Drosophila melanogaster: one gene and its partners. The protein of the gene in region 3 purifies or fractionates together with the protein of the main gene of each other region. This does not show direct contact. Each region holds a gene or a part of one and is shown on either strand. Other genes may lie near its edges. The genes, in order: Vamp7, Pi3K68D, Sbf and Rab35.

What was found.
Region 1: the proteins of Sbf (region 3) and Vamp7 purify together in Drosophila melanogaster (affinity purification with western blotting, with the first as the bait; one study listed by BioGRID). This does not show direct contact.
Region 2: the proteins of Sbf (region 3) and Pi3K68D purify together in Drosophila melanogaster (affinity purification with western blotting; one study listed by BioGRID). This does not show direct contact.
Region 4: the proteins of Sbf (region 3) and Rab35 purify together in Drosophila melanogaster (affinity purification with western blotting; 2 studies listed by BioGRID, with this or other methods). This does not show direct contact.

Annotation. Positions count from the first base shown.
Region 1 is NT_033778.4:9,840,168-9,844,020, forward strand, and holds Vamp7 (Vesicle-associated membrane protein 7), read right to left. Parts: upstream 2,336-3,853; 5' UTR 2,134-2,335; intron 2,059-2,133; exon of another isoform or gene 2,001-2,058; 5' UTR 1,884-2,000; coding exon 1,680-1,883; intron 1,602-1,679; coding exon 1,373-1,601; intron 1,309-1,372; coding exon 1,241-1,308; intron 1,183-1,240; coding exon 1,027-1,182; 3' UTR 913-1,026; downstream 1-912. Other genes in the region: Marc (mitochondrial amidoxime reducing component), read left to right, coding at 1-348, 417-703, 777-882; sting, read left to right, coding at 3,637-3,736, 3,793-3,853.
Region 2 is NT_037436.4:11,786,828-11,792,001, reverse strand, and holds the start of Pi3K68D (phosphatidylinositol 3-kinase 68D), read left to right. Parts: upstream 1-1,988; 5' UTR 1,989-2,080; exon of another isoform or gene 2,081-2,381; 5' UTR 2,382-2,461; intron 2,462-3,756; 5' UTR 3,757-3,789; coding exon 3,790-4,823; intron 4,824-4,891; coding exon 4,892-4,944; intron 4,945-5,174. Other genes in the region: twy (twitchy), read left to right, coding at 1-203, 269-1,724.
Region 3 is NT_033777.3:11,793,692-11,798,885, forward strand, and holds the start of Sbf (SET domain binding factor), read right to left. Parts: upstream 3,258-5,194; 5' UTR 3,153-3,257; intron 2,804-3,152; 5' UTR 2,745-2,803; coding exon 2,690-2,744; intron 2,619-2,689; coding exon 2,515-2,618; intron 2,446-2,514; coding exon 2,125-2,445; intron 2,066-2,124; coding exon 30-2,065; intron 1-29. Other genes in the region: ClC-a (chloride channel-a), read right to left, coding at 3,751-4,056, 4,115-4,348, 4,427-4,456, 4,583-4,852, 5,038-5,073, 5,162-5,194.
Region 4 is NC_004354.4:20,155,022-20,161,610, forward strand, and holds Rab35 (Rab35), read right to left. Parts: upstream 4,852-6,589; 5' UTR 3,927-4,851; coding exon 3,875-3,926; intron 3,508-3,874; exon of another isoform or gene 3,337-3,507; coding exon of another isoform or gene 3,318-3,336; intron 3,249-3,317; coding exon 2,949-3,248; intron 2,816-2,948; coding exon 2,562-2,815; 3' UTR 745-2,561; downstream 1-744. Other genes in the region: aspr (asperous), read left to right, coding at 78-287; Phf7 (PHD finger protein 7), read right to left, coding at 5,897-6,589.

The DNA of each region.
Region 1 (3,853 bases), on a different chromosome or scaffold from region 3:
GTGGTCAATGAAAAGAACGAAATGATCACGGCTCGGGTGTATCCGCTTATGACCCAGATCAAGTCGAAGAAGGTGTCGCCCAGCAAGCTTGTGTTCAGCGCCCAGGACATGCCAGACCTGGAGCTGGACTTCGAGAAGCTGGACGGTCCTGGCAAGGATGTGAAAACTTCCGTTTGGGGCGTTTCCATAGACGTGATGCCCTGCGGAGATCGGATCAACACGTGGTTCTCCCAGGCCATCCTGAAGAAGGAGAGCGGCCTCAAGCTAGTTCACTATCCCTATCCGAAACCAGTGAGATGCACCAATCCCCGCCTAAAGTCCATGCCATTCATTAGACAGGAGGACTCGGTATGTTCCTGATGCGCAATTCGAAGTGTTAGGACCCAGATCACCCTTGATTTGAATTCTTTCCATAGGGCACTTTTAACGATGCCACCAGCTTTATGCTGATGAACCTTTCGTCGGTCGCCGATCTTAATACTCGGTTAAAGAATCCGGTGGATGCACTGCAGTTCCGAGGTAACTTCGAACTGAAAATGGATGTTGATGAGCCCTATGCCGAGGACAATTGGCAGTGGGTGCGTATAGGCGAAGATGCTGTTTTCCGTACGGTGGCGCCATGCACTCGCTGTATTTTTACCAACATTAATGCGAAGACCGCAGAGAGGAGTTCCGAAGGAGAGCCTCTCAAAACGCTCAGAAGGTGAGTCACTACCCATGGAAATATCTGAGAAGTACGACTTACAAAACCCGACCCTCATATCTGGAATCCACAGCTATCGCTTGTTCAACTACAGTTCGCCGGCTCTGGGCGTTCATATGGGACTTCGGCTGCCGGGAAAGGTGAAGGCCAACGACGTCGTGTATGTGGAGGACAAGTGAATATTCCATTATCTCTTCTAACACTTTATCCGGTATACATTGAAGTTTATTACATAGAACATAGATGAGAGTACTGTAGAGTTTTATATGCAAATATACATGTGTTATGAGCCTATAACAATATAAACAACTTTAAAGCTTGTCCTAAACACAGGACTGCCAAGCGAGGCCACCACAGGCCATGCTCACAATCACGTAAACGATGAAGGTTATCACCAGACCCACCACCACGTAGACGCGGATGTTCTTCCAAAACATTTGACGAGCCAAATTTCGGGAGGCCTTACGGAATGCAACGGACTGTAAGAGAGATCAAATGAAAAACACATTTAAAAGTCTCTGCTTGGCATCACCTTACATTATTGCTCAAGTTTTCGGTCTTGTTGACGAGCAGCTCTAGTTTCTCGCCGCGATCCCGCAAGCTGTCTGCAAATGGGATGAAAAGGGAATAGTAAACAAAAAGAACATACGGATTTTCCTTCCTTCATACCAATATTCTTAACCATAATGTCTTTAAGCTCGTCAATCTGACCATGTACTCGCGAAATGGTGTCCACCTCCCGGGACTGACTGAAATAGACCATCTGCTGGGCCAGGATCTTGGAGAACTCGGTGTTCATGGAGTAGGCGATGGCGGTGGCCACCTGTAGGCCGTAAGTCTGGATAAACTTCTGCTTGATATCCGCCAAGAAGAGGAAGGCCCGCGACCGTTCGAACTCCTACAAAGAAACGATACGTTATCGATTGGGCAATAAGCAACTGAGGTGGCTAATTGGGCCAGTGGTTCGTTCACCCACGTTGTCGGTGATGCACATGTAGACCAGTTTGTTCTCGCAGGTGTAGTGGATCAGGTAGTCTCCGTGTGTGTAGGTCATCTTGTGGTTATGCACCCCGATCCGTCCGATTATGTGCTCCGTCACTTCGGCAAAGTTGCCGACGCACTCCGCAAACTTCGCCAGCACTGTGGTGCCCCGCGATATCACACTATATAGTATCGGCATGGTGCCACAGATTCTCCTTTGCTAAGGGCGCGGTTGTTCAGCTCCTCAGGCTACTGCTTTGTTTTGCTTATCGGGGAATGAGCCGACGATCCGTCAATGATGACGTGCTCTCGGATTCTGAGAAATGTACATATCGATTTAGAAACTACTACTATCCAATTGCGAGCCTATCAATCTGAACAATAACTCTGTTTATGAGTAACATACGTATATATGTGTAATATGCAAATTGTTATATCAAAGTACTTGCTTTGTTTATCCAATTAGATCCGCCTCGAGTTGATAGCGCAACTGCAGATTTACATTTTGTGGTAAGCGGCTTAAGTTATTATCGATTTTCAATTGCTTTTGCCGAACACAATAAAAACATCACAATACCGTGGAATTAGCTCGATTTTTGCATTACAAATAACAACAATTGCTGACGCTTCGATGCAGTTATAAAATTAGAGGTGGAAGGACGGTACATCGACGCATCGATATTTAATGGAGCCGATAAGTCTGGCTTTATCGCACGGTCACACTGCATAACGTGTTTTACAAATTATGTTATACGGTCTTATGATTATTTGCATTTGCTTATTAAATTAAATGATCTCCGCAACTTAAATAGGGGCATCCCACCGATAGCGTTTCAGTATTGACGAGAGCATCAGTTCATCCAGTTGAGATTCTTCTCCCCGGACAAAGAATTTTCCATTAAAGTAAATTTAAATTAATAGCGTTCCCAAGCTTTTGCTCCTGAGATCTTTGAGCCTGGATCCATTCGTTTTGACAGAAAAAACCGCAGGTAATAACTTAAACTATGTACACACGCAAGATACAATATACGTAGTTTCAATATGCGCATATGCTGCCGAAATATTCGATTTAAAATTACTTATTTTAAAAGACTTAGAATTCTCATTTATTCTGGCCACAAATATGGCACGATTGCACTTTTTTGAGCCTTTTACAGGATAAGGTTTCTATAGAATTTAATATTAGAACACAATAAGCATGCTTAAATAAGATCATTTATCAAATCTTATAATTCGTTTAGGGTGTAGCTATCAGTATTTAAGTTGCAGAGTAAGAGCGTAATGGTTAACCATTGTTGATGGTTAATTAACCACCAATTGGTTAACCATTGTTAATGTTTAATTATCTTTGTTATTTTTTATTATTTTGATCTTGATTAAGAATATATATACTTTACATGGCCGGGAACGCTTCCTTCTACCTGTTACTTACTTTTCAACGAATCTAGTATACCCTCTTACCAAAGACACTAGAATAACAATATGCGTTTTTGGGAGGAGTCTAGAGCTGGCTCCGGCTCTCACGAATATTTGTTCCAGAGGGCGGAGAGCTTTACAGTCAGCAGATTTCATGTCTGTATATGTATCTGATAGTCGGAACCGGACATTGTTACCTAAAGTTTTATTTCGAATACAAATTGATTAACGAATCTTTGAGGCTATATTGATAAAATCTTATCTGATACCTGATAAACAAACACAAAAGTAAATAATAATAAAAAGATATAACAATGTAGTTCCTTCATTGCTTCCGTCATACATAAATATGTGCATTTGTATGTGCACGCAATGTAATTAATATTTAGGAGCCCAAATTCAGTTATGTATACCTATGCAAGCCCAATAAACAAATTTATATATAATTTAACGGCATTTGAAATTCCAGCGAAGTTTTCGCGAGATCTCCAAATCGATCTGGCAACCCTTGAGACGTACATATGTATGCAGACGAAATGGCAATCGCTAGCAACGTTGTCGAAGCGGGGAACGCGGTTCGCGCGGAAAAAGGCAGAAAATATTTTTATTTTCGAAAGATGATAGGAGATTATATTGGTGAGTGATGACCGATGGACGCCATAAATTATCTTTACGGTCGTGATTCGTTGCAGACACCTCTATTCGCATTGTAGCCACCGTGTTCTTGGCTGATCTGCTCCTTCGCTTGTACCG
Region 2 (5,174 bases), on a different chromosome or scaffold from region 3:
ACACCGCCGCTCGTGGAGAAACCGGAACCGGAACCGGAAAGGAAGGAGCACCACAAGGCGACCAGTCAGGAACAGGAGCATTTGCTTCTGCTAGAAATGGATGCCAAACGCAATCTGCTGGAGAAACAGCGACTCGATGAGCTGGTGGCCAACATGAAGGTCAACTATGAGCAGGAGATCGAAATGATAGATTCTTCATATAAGTAAGTTTTAACCAGCTGCTGAAATAATAATGCAAATGAGTAAGAGAATTTAATTTTATGTCCAGAAAACAAATCAAGGTGCTGGAGGAGCACTTGTCCGTCGTAGAGAAACGACTCAAGGACGAGAATAGCGAGTTACGGCAGTACTACATCGAAAAACTGGAGAAGCAGAAGGAGGACTATGTGGAGCAGATTTCCAGCCTGCGACAAGATCATGAGGATGAGGTGCGCAAGCTGCGTCAATCCCACGAGCTGGACCTCGAGGGTATTCGTCAGGCTAAAATGGTGGAGTTGTCGGCGGTGCAGGATCATGGAAATTATCTGGACACATTGCGTCTGGCGTCCAGCAATCTTCAAGAACTTCGTGACGGGATGAGTGACAACCAGGAAAGGGAACGGCAGTTGGAGGCGCGAGAACGTCGCCTGGCCGACCAGGAAAGGCGTCTAAAGATGGACGAGGAGACGGCCGACGATGAGAAGCGCCGCCTGATGGAACTGGTGAGCACCTTGGAGCTGCAGCTGGGCCGTTTGTCCAAGGAGTCAGCCGAAGAGAACTGGCAGCTCCGTCAACGAATGTCCAGCTTGGAAGCGGAGCGCAAGGCTTTCGAGCGCGAAAAAGAATTCCATCGCGAGCAAATGCAGCGGGACGAGAAGCGTGTGGAGGATCTTAAAGCACTGCAGCTTGCGGAAATGGAACGACTGCACCACGATCTCCAGGAGGAGCGCAATCAACTGACAGTGGAACGCCAGCAGATTGAACTAAGACAACAGCTCAATGAGCACGGCGACCCAGACAGAGATCGCCGGGAACTGGAGGCCCAACTGCAGGTGGCACGCGAAGCCATTCGGCGGGCGGATGAGGAGCGGGATCGCTACCACAAGCTGCAGCGCGAAATGGAGCAGCGCAAGCGCCATCTTCTGGATAAGGAGCACGCCCTAAATCTCAAGGAGGACGAACTGGGCCAAGCCACCGGCGCCTACCGCCTAGCCACTAGTCGCCAACACTTGGCCGAGCAGAAGGCTAGGGAGGCGGACCAGCTGCTCCAGGCCAAGCTTAAGGTCATGGCCAAGCGGGCCCAGGAAATCGCGGAAAAGGAGGCACAGCTGGCCCACGAACGAATGCTGGTGGCGCAGGATCGTATGGCTTTGGTCAATCTGAAGAAGCAGATTTCTCGCAGCAGGTGTGCAATCTGCAAAATGGGTGCGGAATCGGCGGAAATCGCCCAGCGAAGGGCAAATGTAAATCCCACAGCAGCCACCGATCTTCAACTGCCTCAAGTGACACCCAGTCATGCGGAGCTGCTGCTTAAAATGTCCCAGGAACCGGGACAGGTCCAGAGTGACATTGTGGATCGAATGCTGGACGAAAACATCGAAGCCTCCTACCGCAGGATGTACAATGCGCCCCCCAGTAGTTCAATCGATGATCCCGACTATCTATTGACGTTAGCTGGTGGGCTGGACGACGACTCCAAGGTGGCCATGGATCACGGCCTGAATGTGGACGAAGCATTTATGTAGATATTGTGGAAAAATTTGTGGAAGCACAAATAATAACAACTGAGATAAATAAATGTATTACTTGGCAATTAGTATAAGTTTTATAAACAAACTATGAAGATACAAGATTACATATCGCTCGAAAGTTAAGTATTTTGTTATTCGTTAGAAACTCAATAAATTTGAATTGATGGAGTGAAACCCGGCTACATGATTAGCCAATACTCAAACATCTGTTCGATGTATCTTTCATCGATAGTTGCCAAACAATATCGATTCGTTTACCATCGCTACTGCTTGTTGCATTCCGTTTTGTGTTATTTCGTGCTGTTCGTGTTTAAAGTTCTTGCGCACAAGATAATTGTTTTTTTTTTATTGTAAATTAACTGATTTGTACATAATATGTGATGGTGCAAGAAAATCTAAGAAAATAACGTTTTGTTCAGTATTTTGGTGTTGCGTCTATTCCGTTTTTTGTCACTGTTTTCTGTTCGTGTTTGTGTATGGTCGTTTCGCATGTATGTGTGTAGGTGTTTAGGTGTGTAGGAGGATAAAACAACTCTCCTAAAAACAAAAAAAAAACCTTTGGTTAAGTTTAAATTAATTGTGATTCGTCAAATATAACAACAACCGAGGATAAAAGTGTAAAACTATTAACCGGATGGTCTATGTTCGTAGCCCCGTCAAGGGAAAACCTCAACCAAAAAGAGACTAGCAACGGGTGTAAAAAGCAGCGGAGGTGACACCTCAAAAAGCAAGTAAGTTGGCAATATGCGGATGAGAATCACAAAGCAGAAGTCAAGTCTGCATATTAATGACTATCTCCATTATTATTTTCTTTCGCCCTTCCACCGATATTCGTTTTTTTTAAATTTTATTCTTACGTTCTCCGGAATAAATTGGCATTCAATTGGGTTCATTTATTGTTTATGAATATTGTTTTTAAAAATTTTTTCGCAATCTATTGATTTACCTTAACCTTTGCCGCACGGAACCCTCTCTTTTGCTCTCTCTTCCTCGCTTCCTATTCCTAGCCGGTTCGCATTTTCTTATCTTCCATTCCGTCCCCGTTCGCGACACGGACTCACACACACACTAGTGCTTTTGTGGGTGTGTTTATATTAAACAGCTGTTTCCTATCTGCATACGAGATTGGCTTCAATGGGGAAAAAATCAAAACGCTTACATGCTGACATATATATATACGTTTATATTGCATATATTCGTATATATGTGTAAAATCTGGGAAATCAGTACTCGCAGCATTCATTCACGCAAATTGATGCCGCCGCTTTTGTTTGTTTTTATATATTTATTTACAATCGCGCACTCAATTGCGCCTTTTTGCGCCACTCTGCTGTATCGCAATCGCAAATTTGGAGCGCTTGGATATGGTTTCTATGTGCAAAGTACACAAGTATTTACCACATTTGTATGTACAAACAATAAGATAAAATGTTTTGCTGATGTTTGTACCGAATGTCGAAACTCTGCTAATCATACTTAATATCATGCTTGCATAATGATGTTCGAACTTTTCTATTAGAAGTTGATATTTTTTAAAATATAAAATTAATTCCTGTCCCTGCCCTGGCTATCACAAATCCTTGTAATTACGTTTTAAATGCAGTTGTCATATCCTTTTAACCATTTCGAAGCTTACAAATCTAATAAAGCGATCAATCTGTTCTCCCCTATTTTCTGAATTTCTGAATCATTGGTGCCCGCTAATGACGGCTCATTATCGATCGCGAATATTCCTTTGCAACTTAAAAAAAAAAAACTAGTGATAGGCACCCCCACTCTGTCGCAAGTGGTCTTCCCCCCATCGAATGCTATCTCACCTGTTCTTCGTCCAGGTACTCATATAGTACCATTGCCATTTACACTGCATAATCACTTTTATCACCGCCTGTTCGTTATCGCAGAGATAAGCAATCCCAAAAGCAAACACCTTTGTTCAACAACAAATAGGCATTGGAAGAGAAAATACGAAAATAATTTTAACAAAATTTGGAAATCGCTCACATTTTGTTCTGGTTCCCATTCGCAGCTCAACGGACCGGACGCTTTAGACGAGGGGATAATGTCAAATCAAGCGCATATCGACTACGACAAACAATTCCAGGATGACCTGGCCAAGGCGACCGCCCTGAGTCTAGAGCAGCATGCCCTCGATGACTACAGGCGAAACAAGAAGTACGGCTCCGGGTATCAGCAAAGCTCCACCGTTGCTGGCCGAGATTACCAGGCGGCGCAACGTAGTCAGAGCCTACATCAACCACGACGGCACTCGGAGGTGCATCAGGTGGCCATCAGTCCGGAGAATGCGGAACGATCGCGCACACCGCCGGCCCAGGGAACGGATAACGATCTGATCTGCTTCGCAAGTCCCACCAGCAAGCAGCCAGAGAGTAGCAGTCCCTTTGGCAAACTTATAGAGGATCTGCAGCGGATGCAGCCGACCAATCCGCAGTCGGCCCTGGTGCCAATGGGTCCAGTTGCGTCGGCTTCGATTCCTCCTCAATACGGCTTTCCACCTCATCAGCAACGTCCAACGGCTGCTCAGCCCACACCGTACGGCATGGTTGCAGGTGGAGTTGTTGGTGGACCGGCTTACGGTGACCTGCAGTTGGTGCCTTACCAACCAGCTGCTCAGCAACAGAGGCCACTAAACAGCGAGGAGCTGCAGCGGCTGTACAGCATGCCCGCTCAAATGGCCGTGGTTCCAGTGCCGCAGCCAAACGCCTATATGTACTATCCCGGAGCTGTGGTTACTCCATACACGGCTCCCATTGTTCCCGGATCGGCTGCTTTTATGCCGCCGCAGTATCCCGCACAGGGATATGGCTTTGGAGGTGCTTACACGCACATGGATTTGCGTCGACCCCAATCGCAACCAGCTCCCCAACAAACAGCACCGACAACAAGTCATCATCACAGCCAACCGTCCAACCATTCCACTTCCTCCCCCGCAGAGGCCAATGGAGTAGCCTTCCCAGCGCGTCGCCAAGTGCCCTCGACTGTCGGGGTTAGCTCTAGTAGCCACACTGGAAACAATGGTCATTCCTCGGTCCCACGCAGGGGCAACGATTTGATCGACCTCAACCACGAGGACTAGTATGTATCCACTAGTGTTCAGAAATGATTAGTTCGTGTTTTTAACATTCAAACATCCTGCTTTGCAGCTCCCGTGTGAGTGTGCTGGAGGCATTCGATCCCCTGCTAAACGACAATACTGGTAAGCAGCCTCAATGTTGTAATTAACGTGTAGCTCCCGGTCCTCGTTGAAATCCCCCCACATTTTTCGCACCGTAAACTAAACTTGAAATACAGTCGAAAACTCGTGTGTTGCGATTTTTGGCCAGAGCATTCATTTGAGCTGCAAATAAAAATTATTGGCATAATAACATTAGTGGATTTTTCAACTCAATCTCTAGGAGAGAGGAATATTAAATTGAATAGGAACAA
Region 3 (5,194 bases):
ATCAAAGTTAGAAACTTATCTCGTATTACCTATTGGAAACACTCTGATTTTCCTCTAGACGAAACGCCGGTTTCGGCTTACTGGCTGCATCCACATTGACATCCAGTGGAATTAGCAGGGAAACCATACGGTTCGCAAAGTGAATTGCCTGGCTGTACAAAGTTGACTCCTCCGATTTGGCCAGCTCGGCTTTTTTCTCCTCCTCGATGTTGGGACTTTTGCGCAGCTGCTCGGCTGTAATTTCAAGCGCCGTGGGCTCCTCTAGAGGAACTTCGTCCAGCACACAGTTGGCCTCCTTTTGATGCTCGTTCTGACGTCGGTGAAGCAGATACAACGCCTTTATTTGACCTTGGACATCCTGAAAGAAAGTAGACTCCCAAAATTGCAGGTTTTTCCAGATGGCGTGATCCTGTATCTCTGTGTACGCAAATTGCACTACTCCAGTCGAGAGCTTACGGCAGAAGATTGTGGACATGGGCAGCAGAGCCGCAGCCACTGTGTACTCATCAATGCCGGATGATTTTTGCAGCGCCTTGTTCATGAATCGCACAACTAATTCAAACTGTTGATGGTCCAGAACTGCCTTGTTGCCGTGCACATATCCAAAGAACTCGCGGCACAAGATCAAGCGCGCATCCCGATGCATTAGGGTGCGCATCACAGCCGGCAGCAGTTTTCTGGCATCTGTAATTCGATTCTCAAAGATGTATGACACACAGATCCGCAGCACCTCCAGTCGCCTAGCCGAGTTTTGGACATTGGGACGCACATCTAATGCCTCGGGTAACCTGGGTCCCATCGGAATGATACGGTGCTGATTACGTGTTACATGAAAGCGTTGTGGCACTCCGTTCTTTCGTATCCCTTCCTGTATGATAAGCTCAACCTTTTCCGAACTTATGCGCGGAAAGGCTGGTTGATGAATACGCTGGAATGCGCCTTCCGGCGGACGCAGTACTTTTTGGGCATAGCTGATGTGAGCCAGAGTGCCCTCATTTTCATATAGAACTCGTCCCAATTCCTGGATATGTGTGAGTATCTGAAAGTAGGAAGGAAAGGTAAAATTAAAATATCCCTTGAATCTTTGAGTTCTACCTACGAGATTTCGATTCTGCGCCTCCGATTTGAGCAGTTCGTTCATTGAGCTGTAGAGCTCATCCCAGGCATCGGAGGATCGCCAGGGAGGGCCTCGTTCGTTGACAAACGTCGTGAAAAACATGCTGTCCAGCACCCTAAACAGGAATTCGCTCTCTATCAGATCGCGGGCGCCGAGAAATCCTGCCTTATGGAAGGTGATCACCGGCTTTGGGTGGATCCGAATGATAGTCAGGCAGGAGCGATATCCCTGCAGCAGCTGAGCGAAAAGGCGCATGAATATGGCGCGAAGTTCCTTATCAATCTGGGCGTCAGTCTTAGCAATAGCTGAAGGCCGCTCTAATGTGGGAAACGCCAGATCGGCCTGCGCCAGGTTTGGAAACAGGATCATGCTGAGCAGGTCCTGGGTCTGTTCCCACAGCGGTGATGGAAGAATAGGAACAGGCGGCGTCAGCGACTCGGGAATGGTAACGAGGCCGCCATCCAAATCCACCACAATAACATCCAGTAAATCCGTAATCTCAGTTTGCAGTGAGCTATGTATGCCCATAATAAATGGCGTAGGTGTGGATAACACTTCCGTGAGTGGAGCCGGCAGAATTGGTATATAAACATGAGTATACCGAAAGGGATACATCAATGCCACCAAAGCTCTGCAGCTGTCCGTCAGGTGCCAATAACACTTAGAAAGAAACAGTATCTTGTTCTCTGTCATCACGGAGCAAAGCAGTATCAGCACATTCTTGATGCCCAGCTGCTTGAAGAGGAAGTGGACTCCACTTCCAGTCGTGGGCAGGGAGGAGCTCTGCGGAGGCTGGAGCGACTGCTTGTCTCCTGCTCCTATAGAGAAGCGCACCTGCGGTCCACCCGCTGGAGGAACTTGGATGCAGCCCAGAATGTTTCCTATGAGTGTCTCCAATCCATACGCCAGGTTCTCAATGTACACCGTGTATATGGTGCCGAGACAATTCTGTAAATTAAGATAATGGCTTAATTTAGTATCTTAGGTGGTCTGACTTTTAAACTCACTTTAAAGGTCTCGGCACAGTCCAAACGCGATATAAGCACCAGACACTTTGGTGCATACATGACGCTGTGGTGCGTAATGGAAGCCGGCGTGGATGTCGTTGTGATGCCATCCATCGATGAGGGTGTGGCTCCCAGCAGCCTGCTGCTGCCGATGGTCTCATCCTCGTCGTCGACGCTGCGCGTCTGTGTGATGGCCACCGTCTCATGAAAGCTGAGGCAGGCGCAGTAGTGCTTGTTGGCATCGATGTCCGTCAGCACAGAGACGAAGAACTTGGGCTCCTGCTTCTCGTACGATAAACTCCAGCCGAGCGGCTGGCAGAACTGTCGGAATGATAAGTTAAAATTCAGATATGCTTCGAATTAAGTGAGGAATGTTTCAAGCGCACCCACCCATTCAATGCCCTCGATAAACGGAGTGTCCGGCCAATCTTTCTCGGGAAAGCGCTGAACGATCTTGCCGCACGTCGGCTGGCCGCCCACATTGCTGGCAGTTTCTGGGAAAAGGGAAATTGTTGAATGTCAGAGAATTGCTAATTATGGCTGATGGGCATGTGGATGTACTCACTCTCCTTATCACTGTCGTAGCCGACTATTACGAAGTAATCAGCGAGCCGGGACATCTTGCCCACCACATAGCCGGCCAGTCGTCTAGGATCCTACGGCTCTTTACTAGCCAAATCTAGGAGAACAAAGAGTTGAAGATGTTTTATTTTGATTTTTTTTTTGTTTTTGTTCTGTTGCGTTCTTGTAGCAGGGGACAGCGGCAGATGGATTCTATTCGCCAGTGCCGTCATCCAATTTGATATGCTAATTAGGCTCCGTCTCTGCGCTCGGCATAAATGATTAGCTCCACGGAGATCGAGGGGCCGAATTGTTATTGTATTGTCTATAGCGCCCGGAGGCGTTTTTCAGGCTTTACGAGTCTTGGTCTTCACTCTTTTTTCTTTAACCACACCCCGCCACGCAAAGTGGGATCGTTCGCCGGGAATCGGACTGGCCAATCTATATATATATATCCGCGCACACACCTCGCAGCCGGCTGCAGCCGAAATCCCCGCTAACTGCCAGCAAATCTCAAAGAATTCGGGGCTATAATAATTATTTTTAAGTTCGCATAGAAAAAGATAGATGCAATACACAATAATTTTCACGAATTATCCAACACTTTCTGCATCAGCTGATTGAATGTGTCGATATTTGATTGGCGCTTTGAATGTATCGATAGTTTCGGACTGCGCTACAAATTAATCGGCGCGAACTTAAAAGATCAATTGGAAAATGGCAAAATTAATTTCCACTTAGCCTTAAATATTCATTAAACAATTTTGGGGAAATTATAATATAATTAATCTGTTGGAAAAATAGGAAACTTGTATACTACATTAATACTCCCCAGTATATAAATAAAAATCAAACGCAGCCTTCGTTGGTGACTTGATTTTCTTTTCAACTTAAATATAAATCACGATATTTTTCACATTATGAACTAACGAGATATAAATACATAATAACATTGATGACTAACTCGTGTAAGACGTAACTTAAGATAGATGTGTTTAGCTGATCTTTACAAACATATTACGTATACGTATCGTATTAACTATTATGATGGCCGATCATCTTGTTTCAAGCATGATTTCCGTTTTCTGTGTTACTTTTGTCCGCCGATGGACTTTGCTTAGATTCCTGTGGCGGCATGGTGAGCGATACAGTGCCCTTATCCGTGTGCTTTATGTGCTCCATTTCAATGTCCGAACAGTTCTCGGAATTGGATAGTGCCGAGTCCATGGAGGTGACGGTCATGTCCACGGCCTTATCACTAGAGTTCGTCGACAGCAGAGGTTTCTCCACCGCCGGCTTCTCATCCGCATCCTCATCCCGTGTGGGGGGCACGAAACTATTGCTATTAATGTCCTCGATGGCTTTTCGCAACTGTTTAATAAAACATGTGTTATTGTTATAATCATCAAGGATATCAAACAAGACTTACTTCTTTGAGTCCCACGACACCAACAAGTCTTCCGATTTTGGTGACATAGGCGTGGTTAATACCCACCATGGAAAACAACGAGTGAACCTTGAGTATGGAGGTGCGTTCCACCAGCTGAAATGGCGAGGGATCGATGTGGACATTGGCCTTCTGCAAATCGATGGGCTTCAACATTTCCTCGAGCTCCCATTGCTTCTGATCCTCCGGTGACATGTCAATAACACGTTCCCTGGGCTGTAAATCAATCAAATCGGTAGATATTATATCTTGATTGAAATAAGGGGTTATGTAATTAAAATATTCTAAACGTACCAATCGCACCGACTTCGGCTTTTGAATGCTCTTATTTGGGATTTACAAGATAGGAGAGAAAATGTGTATGTTAACTTTGAGAGTTAATGATTCATAATGCGTTGTAAGCTCGTTGACAATAGATATTAATCAAAAGTTTGCATCAGTTTTACATACCTCAGCCAGCGATTCTGGATTTGTTGTTTCATCCACATCCTCTATAGAGTAACCCAATACATTTTCTGGTTTTATTTTACATTTCGTTCGAGTGGGCGAACCATTTACTCCAACTTCGTTAGCAAACCTTATTTTCGAGCACCTCTTGGCCGTCTGAGGAGATCTATTTACATCTGCCACTTTATTTGCTTTGAATTTAATGCTCGGTGATTGCTTTGAACTATCTCCATTATTTGATAATGCTTTATCCGTGAAATCTTTCTCGGCAGGCTTTTTAAACATTAATCTTGAGATTACAAAATTATGTATAGATAGATATTTTAAACTGGCAATACTCTACTTCAATCTTCCACTGAAATTATTAAGTATTTCTTCTACTTCAAAAAGGCCCATAGTACTACTTCATGCGTGGATACTACCCTTATTTTATAATTTTACTTCGTTTTAAGGCTTACCATTTTATTTGATTCCGTTGAAATAGGGTTTACTTGCTTGCAGATATTAAAGTAAGTTAAACACACATATTCCGAGAAAATGAATGAAATGATATGATATGAATGTTGTTAGTGAGTAACTTACCAGCATAATTTGATCTGTTACAAAATCCCAATT
Region 4 (6,589 bases), on a different chromosome or scaffold from region 3:
TAGAGTTCTTCTTCTTCTTCATTCTCCATTATAATGGGGCATAACTACTGTACTAACCCACTTACCCTCGTCCACAGGGTGAGTGCCTGAGCAACAACGAGTGCCCCGACCATCGCGCCTGCATCAACTACCAGTGCATCGATCCCTGCATCGGCAAGTGTGCCACTGGAGCCAGCTGCGAGCCCAAGGCCCACCTGGCTGTCTGCCGCTGTCCACAGGGACAGTCGGGCGACGCCCTGGTGTCCTGTCGCCAGACGCGCACCTTTCCCGTGGCCAAGTACCACTGAGGCGGGATGGGGAGTCGTATAGTCCCGGAGCCGCACTGCCTGCCAAACCAGTCACCATCCGCCCAGCCAATCCCCATCCCAATCCGCACCAATCCGCATCTGCCCACTTCCCGTACTAGTCGTTGCCCTAACCTCGTGCTCTCCCCAACAGAAGCGATAAAAAATGCGTTGAAAAACAATAAATAATACAAGTAAATAATAATCATAAACAATGTGCTATTTTTCTGGGATCCGTAAAGTCACAAACAACTGAATACATCATAAAAAAGTTAAACAAATTGTTTTCAAATACTGCAGAAGGGAAAAAATTCCATTTTAAAGATATAAAGATTATATTACTGATTGTCTTAGTACCGAAATCCAACCCAAAATCTTAACGGCTAAATGCAAAAGACCAAACATTTTAGAAAATCAAATTGCCTTCTTTATTTTGATCGATAAATATATACATCTATATATATAGATATATATATACATTTATATAAATATATAGTTTTCTTTTGGTTGGTATGAAATATAGGTTTCATATTCGAGAATAGTATTTAACTATGAGTTTGCCTCACTTTCTGAAAGCTTTTTTCAGCCCAAACCACAACTAGGTAATTCATTTTGGTATTCAAACGCAATAACATAGTCTTTGAATTTTGGGTATAGCTCAAGGTTTACATATAAATAAATATATACTGGAACCGAAATCGATTATTGTGGTATTTAAAATAAATCTATGAATCGAATGGTTTTTTAAGCAGAATAAATATGGTTACCACAAAGCGAACCCATATGTACATTGTGAACATATAAATATAAATTCTAGTGCGCTTCGTTACTACGTTATTCACTCGTTTCATAGAGTCGCCGAAGAGTATGCAACTACTTTTAGAAGCTAACAAAAATTGTAAAATCGGGAAAGTTTACCAAAAATAACGAACGTGCTTGCAGTGCGATTTGGTGCGTTTTTAACTTAGATACAATACAAATGTAGCGATGTATTAAATGCATTTGTGGCATAAAAGAATGCCACAAAATGTTGATTGCCAATCATATCTTATTTAATTTTAAATCAGCAATGCCTAAGGACTTAAATGAAAAGTGGCTACATTTTGGACATATTCAACATAGCTATGGATTAAAAACATGGTTTTGAATTACAGTCCGAGCGCAAGTAATCGTGTTTTTCCAAAGATCAATCTTTATTCTTTCTGAGGGTACATATGTAATGTATGTATATAATATCAGAGAATTGGAGTATTGGTTCCCCGGTTTTCGAATAGATACAAACATTACCTACAACTATTTCTCTTCAGAAAATTTGCATTGGAAATCATATTGGCTGACAGTTTCAGGTTTTTCATTTTAAGCAAGCACATCCAAAAGAATTGGAAACAGTCCCTGAAGTTCTTTAGTTTATCCAGTTAAATCAATCACGGAATGGCGGCAATAATATCAAATGAAATCTTAACAAGTAAGGCAGTTTCCGAGAGCAACGAAATGTTTAAAAGCATCACTCCAAGCAAATAAAATTTCAGATTCATTCAAAACGTGTCTTTCGCGATTGATAGTCGGCAGATCAGAGCTTTCGTTTTTAAATTTTAAACTATGGGAGTATTAAAAGTGGAGAGTCGCGATCGGAAGCCAATAATTTGATCTCCCCACATATGTATATCTATGTATATATATTTATATATTTCTATAAATGTGTTTCGTAGCTTAGCTAGCGAGCGAGGCGTTTGCGTCCTCGTGCCTTTTCCTGCGGTCGCTCTTGTTATTGTAAATACAATTTTCCGTTTGAAATATAAATATATTCTTGTATATAAATATGCAATTTGTTTCAATTTTGTTTATGTATGTATATATTAATATGTATATAAATTGCTAAATACATTTAATTGCGCTTTACACTTTTACACTTTAATTTACGGCTATCTGGCATTATTCCGAATAAAACTGAGGAGGAAAAAAAAAAACAAAACAAAAAAAATTGTTGTCTCTAGTGGGTGTGAGTGTTGTTCAGTTGTCTCGTGTTGTTTGCTTTGTGTGGTTTCTTGTTGTTGGTTGTTTGGTGGTGTTAGCTATGTCTATGTGAGTGAGTGTCTGTGTCGAATCGTAAGCCAAGAACCCTACAAACTACGCGCCCCCACAACGATTCCGTCCGCCCCCGAAGTTGATCCAGGTCCTGGTCCTAATTTCAGTTCCAATTCCCGTCCCGCCGCCGCCGCCGCCGCCGCCGTCGCCGTCGGTCCAGTTGCAATGCCAGCTCCCGTGCCGGAGCCGCTTTCACCTGCAGCACTTCCCACCCTTGCTGCCCTTGGGATTGGGCTTCAGATGGAGCGTGTCCTTCTGCTGCTCGTTGGGGGAGGTGCGCAGCTTGTGATCGAGCACCTGTCGCGTAATCGACAAGAACATGTTCTCCACGTTTATGTTGTCTTTGGCAGATGTCTCGAATAGCTCGATGTCCATTTGTTTCGCAAACCGCTGCGCGTCTTCGGTAATGACCACCTTCCTGTCCGGATCGTCGTTCTTGTTGCCCACTGTTGAGGAATCGAAACATGAGTCTATATCGATAATGTAAGTTGTCTACTAATTAAGCTCCGCTTGGCATAGCCAACAACTACTTCTCAGTACGGGTCAACCAATTCTGTGCGTAATACGATATAGGCTCACCTAATACTTTTTTAACCACATCGCAGTTATTCTGGATCTCCTCCAGCCAGCGGCGGACGTTCGCAAAGGATTCGCCGTTCGTGACGTCGTAGACGACAATGACGCCGTGGGTGCCGCGGTAGTAGGTGCTGGTGATTGTCCGGAAGCGCTCCTGCCCGGCCGTGTCCCAGATCTGCAGCTTTACGCGCATGCCCTCGATGTCCACGGTGCGGATCTTAAAGTCCACGCCGATGGTGGTGATGTAACTGCCTGAGAATGTGTCGTCCGAGAACCGGATGAGCAGCGACGACTTGCCCACGCCTGCAGGGGATCAGATGGAAAGATGGAATGGGATTCGTATTACAAAAATGTGATATCGTTACTACACACAAGTAAGCCCATTCGGCATATGACATTGCTGTGGAGCGGGGAGTGTTCTCCTGCTCCGGTTACCGCCGCAGCTGGTCTGCTCGCATATCAAGCTGTATATCCTGCCAGTGCGTCACCATTAGTCATGAGCCTGGTTTTGCCCGAGCCAGACCACCTTTCTCGAAATACGCCCAAATGAATATGTAGATAGCTACGTTAGGAGGAGGACAGGACTGATATAAAGTGCTTTTGCATTTATGATTAAATATATAAAATTAGTACAACCTAACACATGTTGAGTATGCCAAAAACATTGAGTATAGAAACAAGAAGCTGACGAATGTTGAAAGTATTATGGAAACTGAAAACAACATTACTCATACGCCATGTTGGCGTTAGCATTTTAAATGTAACATACATTAATGGTAATCAGATGCAGTAATGCGAAAGGGAGGTGGAGACAACTGCGTTTTTGGCCAGGAAACGGGGACAAATTGCAATTTACACCTGCTATTTTCAACTCGATGCTATTTTTAAGCACCTGGTCTGTGGGAAACGGGAATGCCTGGGAAACTCACCGCTATCGCCGATTATTAGCAACTTGAATAGATGATCGAAGCCGCGTGCCATTTTTCGACGTTTTTTCGCTGTTTTTCTGTGTTTTTCCTTGTTTTTGCAAGTGCTTTTATATTTACAGTTAGGCGCGTCGAACAATGCAAAATATACTTTTGTTTTCTTTTTTTCTGCTGCCTGCTCCCACACTCACACACACAGGAGCACACTCCCTGCGCTTACTCTCTCTCTCTCTCTCTTTCGCACTCTCTCGGAAGCGCCCTCTCTTTCGCCCCAAGCTACGACCCTCTCGCTCGCACTGGTGCAGCCGGCTGAATATCTGAGATAAGCTGTTGTTCTTTCTGGCTGCTGGTCTGTTGTTGTTGTTGTTTTTGCTGCTGTTGCTGATGTTTTTGTTGCTGTGTGATAAGCTATAGTTATTAGTGTTGTTGCGTTGCGAGTTAATTTATGTAAGTGTTGTTGCCGCCGCCTTGTTATTTAATTTCCTTTGATTAGGTAGGTGTGTTTCTCTTTTTTTGGCTCCACTGGTACAATTGTTGCTTTTGCTTTAACAGCGGATTTGCGAAGAGAAATCGAGCGGCAGGCTCATTTCCATCAGATCCAATGGCTTGCTGGCGGATAAGACGGCGATTTGGTGCCGAAAATATTTCAATATAGGCTGGCAAATTTTCGCAAAGCTCGACTCCCTCGCAATCGTGCGTCTCGCTCTCTCCAACACTGTAGCACAGACACAACACACGAACACATACGCACGCACGCACACACACACAGGAGTGAAGCTCTGGCTGACTGTTGAATTTATATTGGGCTTCTCGGCGGTCTCGAACTTTCCAGCTTCCGGGTTGCTCTTGCAGCGCTGAAAGGACGACGATTTGTGGGAATTTGTGGGCGTCGGCGTTGCGGATTAATTCTGGTTAATTCATATTCTGGATAAACTATTGCTAACGCACCCACACTAGAGACGGAACCAAATGCGATGTTTATGCTATCGATAGTTTAGGATAGATAGTACCCCACAAACATCGATTCATTTAGCCGGAGCATAAAGTCGAATTTTTCTGTAACTAAATATGCAATGTGCCCACTCAAAAAATTAAATTAGTTTAATAAATTAATACTGGCAATTTTTTTTAATATCAATATGTATCGATATATTTAGAGAACATTATCGCAAGTGTTGCCGTTTAGCGGGTTGCTAACGTTGCCACCTGTGCATAAACTTTTGGCCATATCCAGCACTTATTTATTATGAATGGCGCGATTTTTAAAAAATCTTCAAATAATCACTTATAAAGCCCATATTATATTAATACCAAAAAAAAAACTAAATATTATATACTTTCATACCGATTTGTAGCGGGTATTAACTAGAAGCAAAACGCTATACTCTTAATGAAAGTGAGTATTCGTAGTTTACAACTTTTGAGAAGTTTTTTCAACATCCAAATAAAATCATTCTAACTTATTTTTCAAATATTTTAATTTTATTTATTTCATTTTAGCGTTCAGATACTGGGATTCTTGATACAGATACTGGATTCAGGGATTCTTAGATCGCTAGTCAAAAAAATGTAATGCTTAGAGTAATTGAAATAATGTAGGCACTGCGAGCTGCTGAAAAGAAAGTCAGATGGGGAAAATAATGTCTACAGCTACTTAAAGTAAATATGTATACAAGTTATTTATACGTGTGGAAAGGAGCACTTACTTAGCTTACTTAACAAAGCAAATAAATGGTAAATGCATCTTATTAGCGAATACCGCTAGGAGAACAGGATTTTAATGGAATTTTATATGTACAAAAGGCGGAAAATAGAGAATAACGGGTGCGAACCAAACGCACGCATTTGGTCCACAACCTAGTCGATGTGATGGTTAATGGAATGTGCAAGTGTTATGTATCGTGATGTTGTCATCTGTTCTCCTAGTCCCTGCGGGTATCCTGCCCACTCAGGATATATCCATATTGATCTTGCCGTGTACATGGATTTGTGCGAGTGTGATCTATTGTAATGTCATCTGTTCTCCTAATCCTTGCGGCTGGCCATGTGGTTGGACAAGCGGTGGCGGGTCCTATTGGCCACACAGGATATATCCATGTTGGCGAGTGAGGAAGGCCTGTTGGCCAAAGTGCGGCGACGTAAGACACGTGGAGCAGGAGTGCTCGGCTCCGGCGAGATGGAGCCCAACAGACGCCTGCCATTCGACGGCGCAGCGGCAGTGGGCGTAAGTTGGCGCCTCTTCGACTCATATTCATCACTATCATATTCATCACTATCGTCATCGCTATCCGACACGTGTCTAGGCGGCGAGACGTATCTAGGGCGCCAGGGACGACGTCCATTCGATGTGGACGGCTCAGTGTTTTCTTGGTTATCAAGTGTCGATGCGGATGTGGATGTGGATGTGGATGTGGATGATGTCGCAGTTGCAGTAGCAGAGCGAAACGAGGTTACTACACTTGAGAGAAATGTTGTTTGCGTTCCCTGTGATTCAAATGTGCGAGTTCCACGATCGGCTAAAGCGCGTGCCCCCGCAGAAGTAGATGGTTGATCATCGGAGAGGGTCACCACGCGACTCTGCACTTTGGTATCGAACGCACGCTGAAAGACGGCATCATCGTCGGAGGAGCCGAAATCATCCCAATGGGAGGGTGATAGCTTCTCTTGAATCTGATCACCATTTAGGTGACCTGGACGTGGGGCTTCGGCCGAGTCGTC